Lepisosteus oculatus: one gene and its partners. The protein of the gene in region 2 purifies or fractionates together with the protein of the main gene of each other region. This does not show direct contact. Links are inferred from orthologs where the notes say so. Each region holds a gene or a part of one and is shown on either strand. Other genes may lie near its edges.

Region 1 (7,105 bases), on a different chromosome or scaffold from region 2:
AGGGGTTCAGCGCAAGTTTGGAGTAATCCAGCAAAGCTCTTCCTGGGAAAAATAATTCAAAAGCTTGTGTACTGTGGGATGCTTACTCAGATAAGATTATATCCAAAAACGATAGCCATATGGTACGGGGGACATCTTGCTCTTTTTTGAGGTTAGGTAATGTTTGGGTTTTAAAAATGAATCCAGTCTAATTCTTTTTAAAGAAATGTAGTTAGCAGAACTAGAAACTAAACTGGTCGACAGCACAGAGTAAACACATCATACATACAAACAGGGTTTAATTACATCTAAAGTCGCCTTTACATATCACACATGCAAGTGACTAATTTGTAAGCTTTTTAGACTATACTGCAAAACAAAACAGCAAAGTCCTTCTTTGTGAGCTGAGATGTAAAACAGAGGTCTTGACTACCTACCCATGGTCATTAAAAATCCCTGGGGAGTTTCTCAAAAAGAGTAGGGGGTTTTACCCTGGTGTCCTGGACAAATTTCCCCTTGGCCTTTACCAGTCATGGCCTAATAACCCCCATCTAAGAACTGGCTTCATCACTCTGTTCTCCTCCCCACTGATAGCTGGTGTGTGGGGAGTGTACTGGCGCACTATGGCTGACATCACATCATCTAGGTGGGGGCTGCACATTAGTGGTGGTGGAGGGGAGTCCCCATTACCTGTGAAACGCTTTCAGTGGAGAGTCCAGAAAAGTGCTATATACATTTGAAGATTATTTATCTTTTTATCTTAAAACTATCTTAAATGTTAACTAATGAGCAGCATCATCTTGCTTTGCAATTCCATTTTATGTCTGAATGTTACAGTATGAATTCTAAAACATTAACATGCTTTTCTGGTAAGTTTTAATAACCTGTCAGGCACAAAGCCAAAAGTATTGAGCATACTTCAATAAGAACTACCTCTTGATTGAGAATCATATGCTTGAAATAAAAAGGTAAGGCAAGTTAGAGGCAAAAACTATTTTAAAGAGATCAAAATCACATCACAGCCCCACTTATTTATATATTTAAGTCACAACTCTAGTCTATCAAAAGTGCGTTTGACTTCTTGAAGCTCTGAGGTGTCTTAACATGAAAGGCACTATATAAAATAAAATTGTTCCTGTTATTAAAAAGATTGTTACTGTGGACTACCAAAACAATTTTTTGGCCAAAGCCTTAATGAATGGCAGGAACATCAAGACAGACCCAGTGCACTGCACAAGCGATTTCTGTGTATTCCTGGATGTGTCACATACATAACTTTAGCAGATCTCAATTAAACCAGGACACACAACCCCTGTGGCTGAAATGGTAGGTCTTTCTCTCTGCAAGTGTCTCCCTTGTATGAACAGTGTTTCCTCTTAAACAGCTAAATTACTGTGTTTATAATGCCAAGAATCATTATAAGCTGATATTTATCTTTGGGATTTCCCACAATCGTGACCACTAATAATTACAGCTCCGATGAACATACAGTGTTGTTTTGAGGTGTTTTCAAAAACAAAAACTGCGAAAACTAAATACCAGCCCTATTCAATCTGTGTTAAGACTAATCCATCCATCACGTCAAATTTTAATGAATGCGGGGATGGTAAACCTAGAGACTTTGCTCAATACCAAAAGACTTAAAATTATCCAGATGTAAAATGTTCATTTTAACTTTAAAATTAGGAGGGAGGCGCGTACAAACGAACTCCAAATAAGATTTCTCCAAGTAGACAGACGACCCCCTGCACTCTCCAAACATATTATTTTCGACGACTACGCATACCAGAAGATGCACGCTAACCTGTTTGCTTTCACGGTGGACAACAGCTTAATTCACGACACGGAAGGCGTCTAAAATTGACCAGACCAATTTAAAACCGTAAGTGTTCTCTCCCAAATCGTAAGGGTCTGGTCTGAGGCCTACTATCCTTCACCTAAGCCTGGACACACCGAAAGTGCTGAACAATGGACATTTAAAAATAAAGACAGACAATCGTCCGATTCTCTTGAAGTGCAATCACGGCATGTTCAAGAAAATCGTGACCTGCTCGTTAGCATTCGTAACCTCTCCCGACACTACTGTAGCTACCAGCAAACATACCGTGCACTGCGAAAACAAGAGTTGTGGTGGCCTTTAATTTGTTATTTTGTTGAAATCACGTCGCCAAAATATTTCGAAAGCTCAAGTACTCCAAAGCAAAGAAAACATGGTTTGAGAGAACTGCAACATTAGCATTTTTTTTTCCAAAGCGGCAAATGCAAATGACGTTACTTCTGGGTGAGATTTAACGACACCTTAATACCCCCGAAATATTATCTGGCTACTTCAGTGCCAGCAAAGTGACACGACAGGGGGACGAGTATAGCATATTCTTATAAAGAAATATACCTGTTTCTAAGAAAAAACTTCATTCATGGTGTATTGTTACAAAACGGAACCTAACAATGCTGTAAAAATGCACATAAACATAAAAACCCACTAATAAAGTATATTTAACCGCATCGACCACGTTTCTGGATACCACATTTAAATGCGCAACTATTTCTCTGTAGTACTCAATGCGATTGTAAAACAAAACAAGAATAACAACACCGTCCAGATCGTTGAATGTTATTGTTTGGTTTACAAAGCTACTGACCTCTACCAGAAACGAGCATATTAATCCCCACCTGGATTTTAAAAATAATGTGTTGATTTGGGAAAGAATGTTTCGTCGAATAAAACTTTACGCTTTCCGTGCGTTTCAATTGAAGGTAAAAGGTAGCACAAGACAGTGGAGCAGAGCACACAATGTGATTGCAAATCAAAAATTTAAAAAAGCTTGCAAGATCTCACCTCTTTTTATGTTTCAGTCCAGCAGTTAAGGATTTCTTTACTCCATGAGCTACGGTATGTGAGATTTATATTTGATCTGTTCCACTTTTATGGATTTTTCTTCTATTTTTTTATTAAAATGTTAGTGTTATGGTGAGAAAAAGGCAAACAGGGCAAACACTAAAGAGAATGGCCCAGCCTCGGTTTCCCATTCCGGAAGTGACCTCAGCCGGCTCGCAGGAAGTGCCCCGGTCTGGAGAGATCGAGAAGGAATAACGAGCTGCAAAAAATGCGAGCCATATCATGAATAACTTGTGTACGTTACTGTAAGACTGCAAAACACAGGCTGTTCATAATTTTAATAAACGATGTTATACATCATTTAACGCCGGTTCTCTTCCTTACTTATTAACATGCTACATTTTTATTGGACGATAGGGGGCGTGAAAACACCCTCTTGACTGGAATACCTCAAGACCGAAAACAACTTGTGACTTCATGAATTGCAGCTTCGATACTGTGAAATATTGATAATGGTATCACAAAGCACCGTAAACTATCGAAGAGACCTGGGTTGGAGGGTTAATTGGAACTAACTGCTGGAGATGTTCAATTAGTATTTTCAAGGGTATGGTGCTATCATTCCCAGCCCCGTCCAGAGCTTTCATCAGCATGGTACTCAGGCATGTATTATTCCAGCATTAGAGTATTATAATATAATGAGGAAACATCTAAAATGCTGGGGCCTTCATCTTTTAGTTTATATATGGTGTCCCTTAGATCATTTGTCATAATGGTCATAGGTTTCATTGCAATGGTAATTGAAGATATATTCCAGATCAAATTGGATGCTACTGCTGCTGTTATTGTGCTTTATAGGTGTTTGATGGTAACATATGGAAGCAGCTGAACTTTCTTTAGCAAAACTGCGACTAGGCTGAAATTCTAGGCTCCCAACATCAACAGCATAGAACAGACGACTTCCATGTTATTGTGAATGGTGCTGAAATCCAAACTCTGATGGAAGACAGAAAACTTGCTTCCGAATCCGTGTTGTCATTAGAAGTGCATGTTAGGAACATCACAAGTCACTTCCTTCTGCCTGCAGAACACCGCTCACTCTAGAACCAGTGCTTGGCCTGTCTGATACTATATAAACATGATGCATACCAATATTAGACCAATAGAATCTTATATGATAGTAAATGGGCTAAAATGTCAGGAATTCTAAGACTTGTGCTAACTAAATGTATTCTGCATCAGCACTTACCTTCGGTCTTGTATAATTTTTAATAGGCTCCCAGTGATATATAGGGTGGACTACTCTAGCAGGTACTACTGGTCATGTGTGAGGCCTGGAAATGTCTAGGTCCAAATGATGTTAGATATATTGGTTAAGTAGAGGGTTGGTACGGTAGTCAGAATTGCTACCTTGCAGCTCTGGGGCTCTGGGTTCATATTCAGACTTTCAGTGCCATCAGCATGGAGTTTTTATCATCTCCTCACTTTCATCTAGGTTTTTGGCCTTGCACTACAGCTTTGCATTGGTTTAATTGACCCTGCTGCGGGAGTCCATCTTGTGTGTGCCCTGTGATGGACTGGTGTCCAGTCCAACTCATAACCTGAGATCTTTCGATCACAGAATCTCACAACGGATGGCAAAGCCTTCTTGTATGCTCCCCATCTACACTGGAACGCGCTGCCAAAATTCATTACATTCAATTACATTGTACAGTGCTTCAGAATTTCTTAAAGTTCATAAAAGTATACACAGATTTTCTGAACTGTATTTGTAGTAAAAGGAATGATCAGCATTGATTTCCTTAAAGAAGCAAGTTAGCAATGGATTGATGTACTGTTGGATACAATCTTGCTCAATCCTTCTTATGGAGCTCGATGATACCACGCTCATTTACAGCCATGGACTGAAAAATTATGGGTAGAAAACTGTGCCAACGGCCCTCAAATAGAATGGGACAAGCATTGTGGGAAGGGTGTGGTTACCAGTTCCACCTCTGTCACTCAGAACTGGACAGGGGCTGTGGATCCAATTTATCCTGGTATTTCCTAGACATAAAGAACCTTAAATCTAACAATGTTAGAGATAACAGCAGTGCATCATTTTGATGCTGTAGTTGCACAAGCCCATTCTCAAAAAGCCACAATCCAACAGGTGTTAAAGGGCACTCTTAAACTCTCATTTCTGAAGGCTAGAAAAATGGAACCAAGCCAATTCACTGGTACACTTCAGAAAACCCCAAATCACTTGAGTGATAGTTACTTGAGATTTTCATAAGTGAATGTTCCAAGTGTTTTAATCCAACATGTTTTTAATCATCCTGTTTTTCATTACACTTTGTTAAATGTTGGTAGGAATAACTTAGTTCAGTCTTTCAAAATATGCAATGTCATACTTCAAAATTTGCATTAATGTTGGCATCCATTTGAGAAGACAAATCCATAAGTCAACAATCTATATCCTTGTAATTTTTAGGTGATCAATCCTTTAACTACACCAACTGTTTAAAGAACTCTGCATGTAGATTACACATTTTTGTATCAAGGCAATATAGTCATTTTGAAGAAATCTTAAATGTAACCAAATGATTATAAACTTAGCATTTCATCCACCTTTGATTACCTTCAAGGTCCTGGACTGTAGTACATGTACTGTAGGTTCACAAGTACACAAAAACTGAATATACACAAGTGCTTTTTATTTATTCACATTTGGAACATGAGAAACTAAAGAGACAAGACATAAATAAAGACATACAAGATACAAATGGTTTAGAAGAATGGTGGAAGCATAAAAAAAATGCTGCTGTCAAAGAGCTCTCAGAAAACTCTGATCTACAGTAAAACTGCAAAAGAAGATTTGAAATGAACACAGTCCTCTCGTGGATTTGCAGGATGGGAACAAGGGTGTTGCACGGCCAGAAGACAACTGCGATCTGTTTGAACTCATAGCTCATACACAGGATTAACATGTTTCTCTATTCCTTTGCAAACTGATAAGATTTCATGTAGTTATACATGAAAAGGTATTCTGACTAGCATTTGAAGAAATCCCCCTTGAAAAAAGTTCCTACAAAGCTTTTCTAGCATGTAACAGAAGGTTAGTGAAAACTCAACTGCCTACCTTCTTTTACACAAAGAAAATGATACTAGTAACAGAAAATGCTTTTACAACAGTCCAAAGAAACTTATATGCGAGAGCTGTCCCAATGAGGTCTGTAAAACTTCACTGTATGAGTTTCTAGATCACAACATTTGCAACTTTTACCTTAAAGACAATTCATGATATTTTTGGAAATACCAAATTAAAATCCTTAAAAGTTTCTGTCAAAGATCAATATCTGGTGAGAGAATAAAGGAGTTTGGTTCACAAAGTTTGCTGATGATTCCTGCGACCTTCTGTAATTCTCATCCTGGCCTTATTGTCCTCAGCAGGTTTTCAATGATTTGATTTCAGGGTCCTAAGTCTTACACGAGCTGGACACTTGCTGCTTGGAGATAGCCTTGCAAGAACTGTAGTGCTTCAGCATTCAGGCTTGTGCTCAGCATAGAGGGAACCTAGAAAAACATTAATAATCACATTCTTCTTTCAAAGAGAACGAAAAAATAAAACGTGTAAGTTTTATACACCTGAACTGGATTATGAAATATACTTGGAAACCCTTCTGGAAAAAAAAGACTTCAATTTGTTTACATTAAATATGCACAGAACTCCCTCATATACTCTATTTACTTTATGTTAAATAAGGCAAGTCTTATTTTAATAAGTATTAAATAGCCCTTTTGACAAAGAGGTTTTAATGAGCACTACACATTTAACAGTGGACTGCCATGAAACCCTGACAAAAAATAACCTAGCTTTAAAGCAATCAAACTATTTAAAGTTGTTAGCTTCTTGAATTCTTAGTCACAACCTACGTTTGAAATAAACAGCTTCAATACAATAAGAAAAAACTTCAAAGAAGTTATAAAAAAACTTATTAAATGGGGGAAAAAAAAAGTGTGGAACAAACTTGCCTTTGCAAAGAGAGCTTCGTGCCATAAAGGAACACCCAGTGTGAAATGCTCAGTTGACTTTAAGGACGGGAAATTGATTAGTACACTGGGTTCATTGTGTCTGCCGGGAGCGCAAACATCCTGTCCCACATAGCTCTACATCAACTCCAACACAGACTTCTGCTACGTGTGGAAGCCAAGCTGTGGTCACTTACCCTTCCTGGGCACGCTGTGGACAGCTTGTGGAGAGACTGTGCAAGGTGGATTTTGGGATTGCTGACGGCATCTCCGATG
Region 2 (7,185 bases):
TTCAACTTTTACATAAGCGGCTTACAAATAGGACAGCACTTCATGTTCAGTGAGAAAGGATACAAAATGTGCTTTCCTCATGCGCCTGTCTCAACCGCTGAAAACAGCTGAAGTGAGCATCCCTGTGGCCACTGATCACAAGTGTGCAGCTGTACAAATGCTGCAATCTTGTCCTGACTAGCAATGACAGATCCATCACCGATGTGCTGAGGGCTGCTCCAGTCAATGAGCAGTCAGCACTGATTCAATTAATCCCACCCAATAATATAAAGCACTTAAGCGGATAGAATATCTCACAATTTTTTTTAAATCCTAACAGGAGGTTCAGAAAACACTTTCAAACTTAAGTGGGCTTTAAATGTTAATTTTAAGCTATATTAGCATTAAGGCTTGACAGTTCTAACGTTTAACAATCCATTGCAACTGTGTTTTCCCATTCAGTTTGAAAGTGATGAGGTATCTTAAAGTTAGGTCGCAAAAACATACCTATGCAGGAAATCAGGCGCCTGGTTCAGAAGGGTGTAGTACTGTCGGACAAACTCACGCCCGACCAGCAGGGCACTTGGCTTCTCCATCACCATTTCTTTGGTCAGCTGGTTAAGACTGCAACATAACAAAATCTCTTAACACTTTCTGGAGAGTGGAAACAAAACATGTATAACCACCGATTATTACAAATTCTTCTAAGGAAGATGAGCATCTCACACTGCACAAATGTATAGTAATCTCAGAAACAGAATAAACCAAGAGTCAAAGACCCATTTGTTCCCATCAAGGACATTTCTTGCAGTATATACCTCTTACATCTGCCTCAATCTCTCAAGATCATTCTTTGAACTGCTTACTCACTACTTGCAGGCTTAATGTTAAGAAACATTAAGACTAAGACTAACAAAAGTACTTAAAATCACATATCAAAAAGGCAGCACTTGGATGACAATAAACGAAAGCGTTTATTTATATCACAGCTCTAGCAGGTGTTAACAACAAATGATTGTCTACAAATGCAAAACTGCACCCATTTGCAAGGGAACACCCAATTTCCACAGCTAACATTCAGCTGTGTTTTGAGATCAGACTCCATTTTAAAACTAGATGCCTGCCTCCGCACTTCACATCTGCTTACTGACAAACGGGCTCCCATGAAATCCTACAACCTCGTTGCGTCTCTGGTTGCCCTTAGAGGACAGCAGTGGTCTAAAACAAAACCGGGGCCTGAGAGAGGGAGACAGACTGGATGAGGCTGGCTGCACACTCCACCTGCTGGGGTCGGCCCATACCATCTGCCTCAACATCAATCCCCTGTCTGATCATTGCCTCAGATGAGGCTGTAGCAGGCACCTCGAGGCTTCACCCAAGAGGGGACTGGTTCAGCAACATCTACTGGAATGCTGAGAGTTACACCCATATATAGACTAGCTCAGCAACCATTAACCTAACTTAGCACCGCCACAGCTAGCTAGGCTGCTGCTGCTGCTTCGCACAAGGTAAATGCCCAACCTCAATCAAACCAGGCCTCGGCATTGGAGTCAAGACACCAGCGCAGTTCCACAGAGCCAGACAAAGCCCAGCCTGCGGACTGTCAGACATTTCAGGCGGAGCACGTTTCACGCCGGCGAGGAAACCGAAGCCGAGCTCAACCGAAAAGCTCCGCTGCAATGACCTGGGGGAGCTGGCGAGCTGAGGGCGCGACTTCGCCCGTTTCGCAATGCGTTGAGAGAAAAAAAAAAAGGATGGGAGAGACGAACGACAGTCGAAGAAAAGGCTGATCGGAAATAAGACAGCGAACAGATGTACGCAGAAGGCTGTGTCGCTCACATTTCCGCACTTCAGAAGCCATTCGCTGCTAACAAAGCGCCTGGAAACGAAGCTAACGCCGGCCAGTACCTGGCACATGGCTATAAAAAAAAACGTTTCGCCTCATCGGCACATTTCTAGCATTTCCTCGACTTCCAAAAATATTCTCAACTCATAATGAATCCGAACTACTGCATTGAGATCGTATTCCGGTGTGCGATTTTATGATGTTGACTCTAGGTTTCTCAATTCCGGCAAGCCGTGATCATTTGAGACCTGCACATCCACACCCAAATCCCCCGAACTTGTGTTAAAACAACCACCGACATCCCAAACCTACATGATAAGATCTCGGCGATGTTTAAGCCATTTCGATATTAAATAACACCATCCTCAGCCAGCAACATAAAAACGGTACTTTCGCTGCCCCCTGACCGTCTTAATTTACTGAAACATGCCCACTCAAAGGGCGATATGCTAAAAACAGAATGCAGGCAGTCTTTGTGTACAGCTGAAAACACAAAACGATCACTTTTAAACTGACTAATGCGGTCTAATGCTACAGGGCCCAGATTGCGTCAGAGCTCCTGAGATCATTCACAGCCAGAAACACCGACACCATTTCACACCGCTTATTTCAGACACGAATTACACCATTCCCGGCGACTGTAATTCACAACGTCGTTTACAAGACGTATCGTGTCATTGATGCCATTACATTAATAAACCAACAAGTTTTTATATATAAGCTAACAAGGTAATGCAGCACACATGTGGCTATAAATACACCACGATACGTAGCCATTACTCGACCGGCCTTTCTCATGACTCATTAATACTCGACATAAAACACCTAATATTAACAGCATGGAACCTGGCACCGCCAATATCCTATCAACCTCTGCTTTTTTCCATCGAAATAAGGTCTTCCCCGGCACTAACCAGCCCTACACCACAGCAAGATTTTAAAAGGTGACCAAACGACACCACTAAAACAAAAAAAAATCTACATTTGAATAAAATGTATCCAACATACCTGAACAGGTATCTTATAACAAAGGCTAAGCCGTAGTTTACTTGAAAATGTATATATTCACCACGACTCTCACCCTGTAGCTAGAAATATTCTGGCGGCCTCACGGCGTGCTCAACCGGCTTCTTCAAATGCCTTCGGGTGACACCCTAACCTGACTCCCGTCCCAGTATGTTACAGGCCAATCAGAGTTTAGCCTTGCGATTCGCGCAGCCAATCGAAGAGAAGACATCCGACAGACGAACACTTCTAGCCAATTGCGGTCGGAATTCGCGTTCGATGGCCTTTCTCCATTGGCCAAGACCCGCGGAAGGCGGAAGGGGCTTTGCCTTCGCCCGCAGCTGCGCCAGCCTATCAGAGTCGGCGGAAACGCATACGTACAGGACGTCTGCAGTAGATTGGCGTTGTAAGGAAGCAAGCAGGCGAGAGGGGCAGGCTTGTTCGCTTGATAAGCGGGTGTTGTGGGCAATGGTTTGTCCCTTTCCTGGCCAACCGTTCAAGGATTGGGGCTTTCGCCTAAAGAGGGAGTGCTGTATTACAAGAGGCCCCTGTGAAAAGCCCCGGGAAGCCCTGTGCCGATAGAGGCGGGAGTTTTTTTGTTTAGGTGACCACTAACTTGAACACGCTAGATGTGATGGGCAAACCAAATGAGAAAATGGATGAATGCGTGTGCCTGGGTTTGTGGTCGTTGCAGTTTAGTCTACGTATCGAAATTCAAATGTAATCCGATTAATCATCAATTGCATTCACCTTTAATTACATTTGCATACTTTCCAATTGATACAATTGAAGGTCTTTTACAATTCAACAATCAATAAAAGTTAAAAACAATGACAGTGATTTTCATTTACTCAGTGCAATTGCAACAGTCTTTGTTCTACTACTACAATTGTGTCTGTACACACCCTTATCCAGTTTTGGAATCTTTTCGTTTTGACAGTACAGTATGGCATGCGTAATACTGAAAGAATGATAATAGTTTTACTTGATTGACTTCATTTCCTGTGATTTTGTCTCACATCTATGTTTAAAACATTTGATCAAACACATTCAACTTGAGTGTTGAGTTTTCTTTTCCAAATATACAGTTCTGTTTTCTGGTCCCCAAAATACACCATATCGTATTCTCTAATCATATGCAGTACTGCTGTTTCTTCCTCAAAGATCTCAAAAAACGTAACCCACTGTACCCTTTCTAAGTCCATGTTGACTTTGTCAAGAAAAGGAAAAGGAATTTGTCTTTTCGCATACCCCAATTTGCTCTCCATGAGACACACAGACACATAGAAAGAGAAGCTTGGGGTCAGAGCGCGGGGTCAGCCATTTCTGCGGCGCCCCTGGAGTAGTTGGGGTTAAGGGCCTTGCTCAGGGGTCCAATAAAGTAGGAATTCCTCTGCCGGCCACAAGATACAAACCGGCAACCTTCCAGCCACAGGTACAGATCCTTAGACACACAGCCAACACACCACCCCACAAGAACACTTCCTTCCATCATAATGGATCCTGTGTTAATAATAATAAAAATAATAATAATAATAATAATAATAATAATAATAATAATTATTATTATTATTATTATTATTATTATTATTATTATTATTATCACAGAGTGATGAAGCCAATTCAGAGATGGGGATTATTAGGAGACCAAGACTGGTAAAGGCCAATGGGAAATTTGGCCAGGCCAGGACACTGAGGTAACATCATAACATCATCACAATGCAAGCTTCATTCAGGAAGACTCATGGGGAAAATAGAGAAGAATTTGGAGGATTCAAACACTGCAGAGTTGAGCAGTAGAGGAAGACTCAGCCATCATCTTCACCACATTGGTCTGGTCAACTGGACTGAAGAGGAAGCCTAAAACCACTGAAAGACTACAGAGTTTCTCCTCTGTGGCTGAATGCCGCATGCCAGTGTACTGGAAAGAGCTGTTTCTGGACTTCTCTTTCGGGATATTGGGTTTGGGTAACTGGGGTCTGTGGAGTTCATGTGTCTCTGTGAGTATTAGGGTACTTTGTGGAGACTCTGTGTCATGTGTTCTGTGTGTCGGGTGGGCAGTGATAGGTATTGTAACTGCTAGAACGTTAGAAATAAAAGGAGCAATTATGTCTGATAATTACACCTACCTGGATTATGGGTACACTGATAGTTCTGAGAGATATAAAGAATCTGGAAAAAGGCCCCTAGCACCCTTAAAATTGCAAGGCGGCGTAGTTGACTACAAAGTGTCGTCAAAGTGGCATTTTTGAGTTACATACTGTCTACATACAGTAACTGACACTATTGGCCTACAACTACTTGAGTCCGTTTTTTTCTCCCTTTTTGGCGAAATGTGCTATATTAGCAATTTTCCATCCAGTTGATATGTCTTGAGCAGCCCTTCAAAGGCTTGTTAAGTCTATAAATAATATCTCTCATTTAATAATATCGTACAATTGGTGGAATTCCAACAAGACATTAAAATCTCTTCATCTTAACTTCTAGTAACACTCCCACCTCTTTGATGCTGATGCTTAGTTTTTCCTCAGCCTGTGCGTGTTGTGGATATTTCCTTGACAAGGAATGCATTATGAATGCAAGAGCTGTTATACCTCTAATACTGAGTTTTGAAAGGGGGGCATTTAATCCTTCTAATGTTATAGGAGGCATTTCTGACATGGACATTATTAGATGATACATGGTTATATGATGTTCTGGCTTCCCTGCTGACCCTGAATTGGATGAAGCAGGCAGAAAATGGATATTCTGTTTTATTTGAGGATGACTCTTGTATCAACAGCAAGAAATAAACAGCAAAAGAGTAATATGTAAGTGCAGGGCAGATCCAAGGAGCATCAGTGTAACTACAGTAATTGTATCATAGACTGTCCAGCAGAGGGCAGGGTACACCATTTTTTGATCCGAAAGTTTTGAAACCTATTGTCACTTCAAAGTATTCAGAATCCGGTCTAGTTTTAATTTAAATAATAACAATTGCTTACACTTATATAGCGCTTTTCTGGACACTCCACTCAAAGACTCCCCTCCACCACCACCAATGTGCAGTATCCACCTGGATGATGCGACGGCAGCCATAGTGCGCCAGAACGCTCACCACACATCAGCCATCAGTGGGGAGGAGAGCAGAGTGATGAAGCCAATTCATAGAGGGGGATTATTAGGCCAGGATTGGGAAGGGCCAATGGGAAATTTGGCCAGGACGCCGGGGTTACACCCCTACTCTTTTCAAGAAGCACCCTGGGATTTTTAATGACCACAGAGAGTCAGGACCTCAGTTTTACAACTCATCCGAAGAACAGCGCCTGTTAAGAGTACAGTGTCCCCATCACTATAGTGGGGCATTAGGACCCACATTGGCCGCAGGGTGAGCACCCCCTGCTGGCCCCACTAACACCTCTTCCAGCAGCAACCTTAGTTTTTCCCAGGAGGTCTCCTATCCAGGTACTGACCAGGCTCACACCTGCTTAGCTTCAGTGGGTTGCCAGTTGTGAGTTGCAGGGTGATATGGCTGCTGGCGATGACTCCCTCCGTATGTCTGTATTAGTACAGTATTTTAAATGTCATTAACAACATTTGTTTGAAATAGGGGTCTCATATCCTGATTGACAGAAAATCAGTGTTTTCTTTCCTATCTGAGCTGCGAAAGGCTTAATTGGATTAATCAGTTGCTTACACGGGAGACAGTAACATGCGAACAGGACGGTATAATTTGCTTGACTAAGGCTGTTCAGGACCAGGACTGCAGATCCCTGATTTAGAATGATAAATAAATTCATTCAAAAGTAGCTGGTTCTGTATAAGACCGGCCATACGACTGTGAAAAATTATACATATAACTCTGCTTCTTCACTTCCACTTGGCAACATTCTCTCCCCTTGAAGTTAATTAGTGCCACGGTAATGTGATGTAAATTAAATTTTGAAGCGGTCCATGGCAGACATTCCTGTGGATGTGTTTGTTGCCAAGTGGAAAAGATCAAAATATTAAGGGCTTCCTATCCCCCCGCTAGTGGAAAAGGTATGATCTTAGTTTAATACTTGTATATTTGTGTGATATATATTGGCATTCTTCTTGAAATGCTGAAAGAGTCGAAGGAAAACAATTGCTTAATTCTATTCCCGAGAACTATTAAATTTGCAGGGCAGTTCACAGCAAGTCTTGGCCAGATTCATTATTCTCTGTGGAAAAGCTAGTTGTCTTTGCATTGAGAACAATATCCCAAGATGTGAAAAAAGCTGGAATAGCTCGGTTTCGCCAACAGAACACACAAAACGTTTCCCATCATTTCAGCCAGCGCAGACAGCTGGAATGCCGTTGGAATTCTCTGTAATCGGTTTTTTTTTTTCGGGACC
Region 3 (7,746 bases), on a different chromosome or scaffold from region 2:
GTGTTAAGGTTAATAATGCCACTCCTTCCTTTACCAGTGTCATTATGATTTAACCCTCTTTAGTTTTACTACACACAGTAATATCACAGTAAACTCTTATAAGGGCATGAACAGAGGCCAGACAGCTGTGCTTCATCCATCTAAATTTAGGCACACTACAGATTGTGGAAGAAACTGCTGACTCATGTGATGAGTCACTGAGGATCATTCAGAAGAGGGGATCCTGGGTTATGAGGTTGCTAGAAGCTGGGTGAGCCACACAAAGCTGAACTATTCTTAAAGCCATCAGTGCTGGAGAGCCCTCAGCTCAGACGACCTCAGCCTGGGAGCCCCCTGTCAGGTGAATGGATAAGAATCAGAGAGACTCTGCAAGAAAGAGGAGCTGATTAAGAGCCATGCACCACTGCATCAGGGTATTAATTAGGCAGCTAATTCATTACTGTATCAAATTAAAACCAAATGAGCTATTTAATTGTCTTACTATGCATATTGTTCAGAAATTGAATGCAATTTTAAAGTACATTCATGATGTGTTGCTTTTTTAAAAAATTGTTACAAGTTGTTTTGGATAAACCAATTTTATTATAATAATTACACATGCAGGCTTCTTATTATATTCTTTATGCATTGCGTTTTTCATAACGTTATTGTGTTAAGCTGTTTTGAATAAAGATATCAACCAAATTACTGCTGCAACTTTTTAGTTATAGGAACAATATAAGAAAAGTTATAAGTAAAAGGAGGCCATGTGGCCCATCTTCCCTGTTGGGTTGTTGGTAGTATATTGTTCCAAACATCTCATCCAGTCATTTCTTGACTGCTTCAACAACATGGCTGGGCAGCTTGTTCCTCAATCCCATAACTCTTTGTGTAAAGAAATACCTCCTCCTCTTGGTTTTAAATACACTACCAAACTAAAATGTTCAAACTGAAAAGTTTTTAGAGTCATGTGTTTGATATTTGTATTAACCAAGATTAATTTACTGTAAAATGCAAAATCCATCTACAAAAAGTACAACTAAATAGGTATGATTGTGTGGATCTACAGTACAATGATTTAAAAATCTATGTGAAACGCATTAGGAAGGACTAAAATATTTCTGTGAAAATCCTGAAATCTTTAATATTTGTGAGCAAAGGCTGGACAGCAGAGGTCCCTACAGGTCATTTTATAACGTTAAAGAATTTTAGTGGATGCTTTGCATACTGTTTAAGGGAGTGAATGCACATGGACCTAGACTTGGTTTTAAAATGGTTTTAGAGTTGGTTTTAAAATAATGCTCCCCTGCGAAACTGAATTTTTGCTTGGAGAAATGTTTAAGCTGTGCTTCCCCAGAAGAGTGACACATATGGAGCGTGAAAAAACGCTGAAGCTGCTGTCCAAACACACCATTTGTAACAGAAGACGTACATGATAAAGATGGCCCACCAATTGTGCAGTCAGGGCAGGTGGTAAAAATAGCTCTCCCTTGTGACAGCTGAACATGTCACTTTGGGGTCCTCGGTGCCACACAGCTGTCCTGTCACCTGCCTGACGTCAATCACTGGGCGAGACGCATTCTGTGTTACAGGACAAGTGAGAGGGACCTTCCCACGGGAGAAAATGAGCTTGAGGGGACTGCGTTTTCACTTTCCTGCACATTTTAACCTGGTGCCCTTTATCTTCCTGGAAAATTAGCAAATCCACTCTAAAACTGTCTAATGGATTTAAGTGTCAAATATACACAATACATTTTGTATATATATATATGCAGCTTCATATCAAATAATCGGCAGACTGTATCAGACTCCAGTTAGCCCACTGAAATGTCTCAACTTTTGGTTGGTATTACTTGCTAGCACTGATTGTGGGTGTTCCATAAATTAAGACGAGGCTCCTGTGAGAGATATTTATATTTTAATAATCAATTAATACTTTTTTAAATTAATGATAAACCTTGTTTCCAACACGGGGTGGCAATAGTTGTGGTAGTAAAGGTATACATTATATAAAACCCTAACTTTTTAGGAAATATTCAGCGTCAGTTTTCACTAGGAAATTTAAATATTATGAATGTACCACAGATGGGGATTTTAAATAATAAATGTTTTTAAATACATAGATCTGAATGTATAATCTCTTTGAAATAATAATAATAATAATAATAATAATAATAATAATAATAATAATAATAATAATAATATATAAAAATCTGATTTTGCAGTGTTTGGACACATTTATATCCCACCAAGATGTGCTAACAAAGAAACCTGGACACTAGTCAGGCTCACTGTCTCTCTTCAGTTAAAGGCTATTAAAACAGCAACTACAAAAAGCAAAATGAACATCAAAAATGCTGCTAATAATACTAAAATACTGCTCTGTTTGGACAGTAGGACTTTGGAGAGACAGGTAATTATTAAGTTGGACTCAGCAGTGCTTTCCAGCAGCACAAAATACACCCGACACTAGGGGCAGGTGTGTTACAAGTCAACCATAGCCTTGTCTGTGACCACACATCAATAAAGAGCAATCAAGACTGGCACACCTCGATTCAAAGACTAAATTATCAGTATCCATTTCCTCAGACATTGCCCATATCCTGGCTGACACACATATAAAGGGATTTCATCTTGAAGTAGATGTGGGCTATGTGTGACACGAAGACTTGACAAGTGCTGACTGACGCTTTGTTTTCGGAAAGCATACCTGTTTATTCCAGACACAGTGCACAAAGAGACAATCCTTCAAGTCAGCTAAGAGGTGCAGACAGAGGCTGGCCACATGGTCATTCTTTGGGATTGGAAGGGGGTGCCGAGTTCTCCAAAACCTGCAGAGATCCGGTCACAAATTGACTGTCCGGTCCTGTTTTGGGTGATTTTATGAGCATTCAGTAAGTGGATCTACTGGGATATCTGTGGAGAAGCCAGATTATTAGAATCCACACATGTGCAGGGTTTATATCCAATAGTTGGCAGGAACTGTAATGGCAGTGCTCTCTTTCTTTGTGTAGCACAGGTGTCATGTGCTAGGGCACTCCCTCCTGTAACCAACAGCCATCTCTGGACATCTGACCATAGCAGTCAGGCTGAAGGAACTCAACCTCTTAAGTCTTGAACCCAGATCGATCTGAGTATTAGATGGATCCAAGAAACAGTGAAACTCAAACCAGAGGGAACTATTGGAAGTGCTGTTAAAACCAAGAACAAAAGGCACTTCTTTACACAAAGAGTGGTGGGAGTATGGTACAAGCTGCTCCAGACATGTTGTTGAGGCTGATACCCTTTTTTTCCCCCAAAACAGGTGGTTGAGATCCTCCAATCAGGCCTGGAAGCACATCTTCACACAAAGGGTGGTGGGAGTGTGGAACAAGCCTTCTATCCATGTTGTTGAAGCCAATACCCTGGTTTCTTTCAAGAAGAGGATGAAATCCTGGGATCATATAACTACAAACTACCAAATGTGCCAACTGGGCTCCTCTCTGGTCTTGTAACCGTTTCTATGTTCACTAGTCCACACAGACAGATGGAGAACTATGATACAGTTCAAGTAGGTACTGTAGCTGTGTCAGTATGTGTCAGCTGCAAAGGAACAAATAAAGGTTTATTTCATGTTGAATAGAGAAGAAAAGAAACACAACAAACACAAAGGTTGAAACGTTTTGTTTCTTTTCTTCTCTTTTCAGCATGGAATGAACCTTTATTTGTTCCTTTGCAAACTATGATACAGGATGTGCAGATTTTTTACTCTCGATTTATAAAGTCTTCCGCTGTGGTCTACAAAACCCCAGAAATTTACACTCCTGTTGTGTTGTAATTCTGAATGGGAAGATGGCATTTTTGTTACACCTCACACAATGAGATTCTGCTGTGCTCTGTGACAGCCCGCAGTGAGACCTTAGAAATATTTCTTAGCTTTTTCATAGGGCTCTGTTTGTTCGAGGGGAAAATAAATAAAACGGTCAATCAGAGGCAATGTCCAGAAATAAGAGTGAGCATACTTCATTCTTACCAAAGTCGCGACCTTTTTTTATTGTTCACATAAAAAAACAAAGCAATTCGTTTCTAGGACACTTCCAATATGTAATTGAAAACTGCTGTTTTAAAACGCTTCAAGTGCCTTTTATAAAAAAAAGACGGGAAACAATATGCGTTATATGAACGCCATAAATAGCTGTATATTTAACCTGATAATAAATATGATACATTTTCAGAACTTAACAATATTAAATAATTACGTTATTTACACATATATTTTTACATTAAAAGTGTTAAGCTTATTGTTTTATTTATTTATTTTAACTCGAAAGGGTAAATGTTTTCGAACCCTAAAAGTTTCTTTAGCACACAACGGATACACACTTACAAAAGATGTATATCCTGTGCAATAAATATAGATCATTATAATTACTCTTAAGTATTGTATTACCGGAACCATGCTTCATGAATTGCGCTTATTGACTGAGAATTACGGTAATGAAACACTCGACCATCTCTAGCGTCAAAGAATCAAAGGATGTACATGGAGTAACCCAATCACATCGAGAATACGCGCTGATTGACAACCAACATATCCAATAAAGAGAGTTGCAGAGTCGATTACCGAGGAGGGCAAGAGGGAGGGATGTGTAAGGAAGTTAGTGTGAAAAGGGAATTCTGTTGAAAGGCGTGGATCTGAGCCAATAGGAGAGGAGGGTGAGTGGATGGGCGGGCCGTGTGTGACGGAGAGGAGGGATTTGGGGGTCATTCAGGGCCTCACGGGCTCACTCTGTCGGCGTGCGGTTTGGGGGACGGGCTGTGGCGCTCACCTGCGGTAGCGCAGCCAGCTTCTGGGGAGGAGGCAAAACTACACTAAATACATTACAATCACCCCACTGTTGCCACCCATGAAAAGCTGAAGAGCACAAACGGACAGCGTTGCTTGCGTCGCCTTGAGCCAGCAGTGTCGGACCCCGAGCTCATCAGGAGCGCAGGCGGATTGCATGAGTTTCTCGTCCCCGGAGTGTGACTGCATCCGACCAGCACTTCGACAGCGTATTTAGCAGCGCCCAGATCCGGCGTCACCCAGAACACTCTCTCCCCCCCCACCCCCCCTCCCCTCACTTATCCCGTCCCTCTCTCCGTCTAAACCCCGGGACACTGGAAATCCACAAGCGGCCGGGAAGCGGCGGCGGCGGCGGTGGCAGGCCGGGGCAGCGAGGGGGTCTTCCGGAGTCACAGGGAGCCGGCGAGCGGGAGGAGCACCGGGGGTTCCGTGAGGCGGCGAGGATGGACGGCCTGGCTGTGGAGGTCCGTGGCTCCAACGGGGCCTTTTACAAGGTAACGATCGGAAACGCCAGGGGACGATCTGAAAAAGGGAGCCCAAGGCTTCTGTTTGTGTCGGATTGGGCGGTGATTTGCGTCCAGGCCCGCACGGCTCTTTGTATCTTTCTGGGGTCTTGGGTGTCTGGGGAAGGCTGGGGGGGGGGTGACCGCTCTTTCTGCGGGCGAGGTCCCGTCCTGGCCTCCTTTTCCCGTGCAACATGAAATCGGTAGCTCAAATCATTTCCAGCTTCATTGCGTTGGTTTTAGGTGACAGATCCTCATCATGGGAACGCGCTAGACCTGCAGTAGTTCCTAACCCGTGTTCCTACCGGCGATCTCGGCTTCACACCTGCGTGCCACGAAAAACACAATCCACATGGCTTCACTTTGCTGTCCGCTCGTAGCGGTGCGTTTCTTTTATATTTCGCCATGATATAAACAAAGCTTCGCCAAGGTGCGGTGGTTTCGCTTTGTTCTGCATTTACACCCGCAGATCAGCGCATCTTCATGTCGGAGAAGTCGGTCGCTCCAGGTTAGGTGTTCAAGAACTGGTCCTCTGGGGGAACGCCACTGGTTTTCTCCCTTAACTGCAGCTGTAGTCCTGGCGTCGGTCTCGTTTTCTCCTGTTTATACCTGGAAATACTGCTTTCAGCTCGTGTTTGGTCACCCCACCAGTTATCCCACTGCAAGGACTAAACCACAGACACTGGAAGCCTATTGCGAGACGCCAGTAGGGACAGAAGTTGCAACCTTTCACACTTCGTGTTGAAAGCCCATGCTTAATACTGCAATCTCAGCCACATGTAACACAGCGTCCTGAAACCACGTACTGGCACACCGCTGTAGGTATCGATAACTTATCGATAAAGATTCATACTGAAGTAACAGGCGGTGTCACATTGTGGAACATTCCCGTTTCTTAAGTGGAACTCTTTCAAGCAGATTGATATAGAAATTTTCTACCACCCCATGGTTTTGGGAGCTGAGAAGCACACGAGATAATTTCAGTATACAGTATTTTTGCTGTGAGGTGCCAGTATTCCACCATGTAGTGTAAATTCCTGAGTGGAGTGGCTTTAGAATTTGGTTTTTAAATTAAGATTTTGTCTCTGGTTTTGCCTCGCAGCTCCCAGACCATACTCTGACCTTGTGCCTTTGTTAACCTAGGCTCTTGTTCGTTATTTTGGACCGTTTAGACCGCCGATGTGGAGCAGTTTGATCCGTGACGGGTTTTGCCACCGGACAGTTCTTGCACATACCTGCGCTGGTCACAGAACTGCTTACACCAAAGTTTCCTCCAAATATGGGTGGCAGGCATGAAACATGGCCTGGTGTTGGATGACAGGAACTCAGAGTAAATCCTGGGAGTGGATTGCATCGTTCCAGGAGTGGGACTCTCCATGTCTTCCCTACTGCCTACCTCGTGTCATCTTAGCAGGTTGAGCTAATAAGCAGTGATGCTTAATTTCCTAAGGAAAAAAGCCTTTGAATGAGAAGGCTGACCTTTTCTAGCACTTTCTACACAATCAGCTCTGGATGTTTCTTGCCAATTTAAAATCCCACAATAGGAAATAAGGCCTGCGTTTCACCTCAAGTTCCGACTTTATACCAATTGTACCGATTCATCGGAAGCCAGTGCTCATCTTTCAGGCTGGTGTGAGCCCATGTGATGAAACCATTAAGAATGGTATCTGCTGGATCTTTCCGGCTCGGAATTTGGCAGTCCTGCAGTGGGGTGGAGAGCTTTATCCCCATTACCCTGTTGCCCTTAAACAGAATCTAGTGCCGAGTGAGTCCTGAGTTTTCAGGCCTGGAATAAAAAGGCAAGCGTCAGTTTGCAAGAGTACTTCTGTGATATCCTACAGAGAGCTTCAGAAGACTAACTTTCTCACTAAACAGTGTTTGATCAAGTGCTGCCATAATTCTGCATTAAAAAGTCTAGAAATGTACTTTTGTGGCAATGTTACTCTTGCTACTATTGTTGGTGTTAGAAATGGCAGTGAATTTCCCTGTTGGGGAAAAAAAATGGCTTTTATGCTCAAACTGTTCTGATCGTGTCATCGCAGAAATGAGTTTGCTGAAACTGCTTTGGGGAATTTTCCAAATCTGCTCCGTTTTGCGCTCCGGTTTCCCTTTTGCTTTCCTCCTCCTGCTCCGTCACTCTGTTCAAGTGATGGATTTTGCCTCTTGCAGTCTGCTCCCCTTGGTTTGGAAATCGGGCCTTGTGCCTGCAGGAAAGATGAAGCGATGGGTGGGGTGGATCTCAGTGCCTGTCTGCCCTGCAGTCACCGGTCTGTGCAGTTCTGGAGCGTTAATGCCCAGCCAGACCAGTCACTGTGGGTATTGATGTGGAATTAGGTGAAAAATCAATGTCGGGTCATTTTAAAGCGATCGCGGTGTCTCTTAGTGCTTCCCCTGTTACATTCTTGTTCTGGGCAGCTAACTCGTTCATTATAGATGCTC

The links.
Region 1: the proteins of g3bp1 (region 2) and stau1 purify together in Homo sapiens (affinity purification with mass spectrometry; 3 studies listed by BioGRID and IntAct, with this or other methods). This does not show direct contact. The link is inferred for Lepisosteus oculatus from reciprocal best matches to the Homo sapiens genes G3BP1 and STAU1.
Region 3: the proteins of g3bp1 (region 2) and fxr2 purify together in Homo sapiens (affinity purification with mass spectrometry; 3 studies listed by BioGRID and IntAct, with this or other methods). This does not show direct contact. The link is inferred for Lepisosteus oculatus from reciprocal best matches to the Homo sapiens genes G3BP1 and FXR2.

What each region holds. Positions count from the first base shown.
Region 1 is NC_090711.1:9,427,063-9,434,167, forward strand, and holds the start of stau1 (double-stranded RNA-binding protein Staufen homolog 1), read right to left. Parts: upstream 3,017-7,105; 5' UTR 2,819-3,016; intron 43-2,818; 5' UTR 1-42. Other genes in the region: cse1l (exportin-2), read right to left, coding at 6,284-6,373, 7,027-7,105. UniProt on the Homo sapiens protein: Binds double-stranded RNA (regardless of the sequence) and tubulin.
Region 2 is NC_090706.1:36,004,442-36,011,626, forward strand, and holds the start of g3bp1 (ras GTPase-activating protein-binding protein 1), read right to left. Parts: upstream 3,006-7,185; 5' UTR 2,907-3,005; exon of another isoform or gene 2,834-2,906; intron 604-2,833; 5' UTR 582-603; coding exon 487-581; intron 1-486. UniProt on the Homo sapiens protein: Protein involved in various processes, such as stress granule formation and innate immunity. Plays an essential role in stress granule formation.
Region 3 is NC_090698.1:11,918,112-11,925,857, forward strand, and holds the start of fxr2 (fragile X mental retardation syndrome-related protein 2), read left to right. Parts: upstream 1-4,730; 5' UTR 4,731-5,247; coding exon 5,248-5,298; intron 5,299-7,746. UniProt on the Homo sapiens protein: mRNA-binding protein that acts as a regulator of mRNAs translation and/or stability, and which is required for adult hippocampal neurogenesis. Specifically binds to AU-rich elements (AREs) in the 3'-UTR of target mRNAs.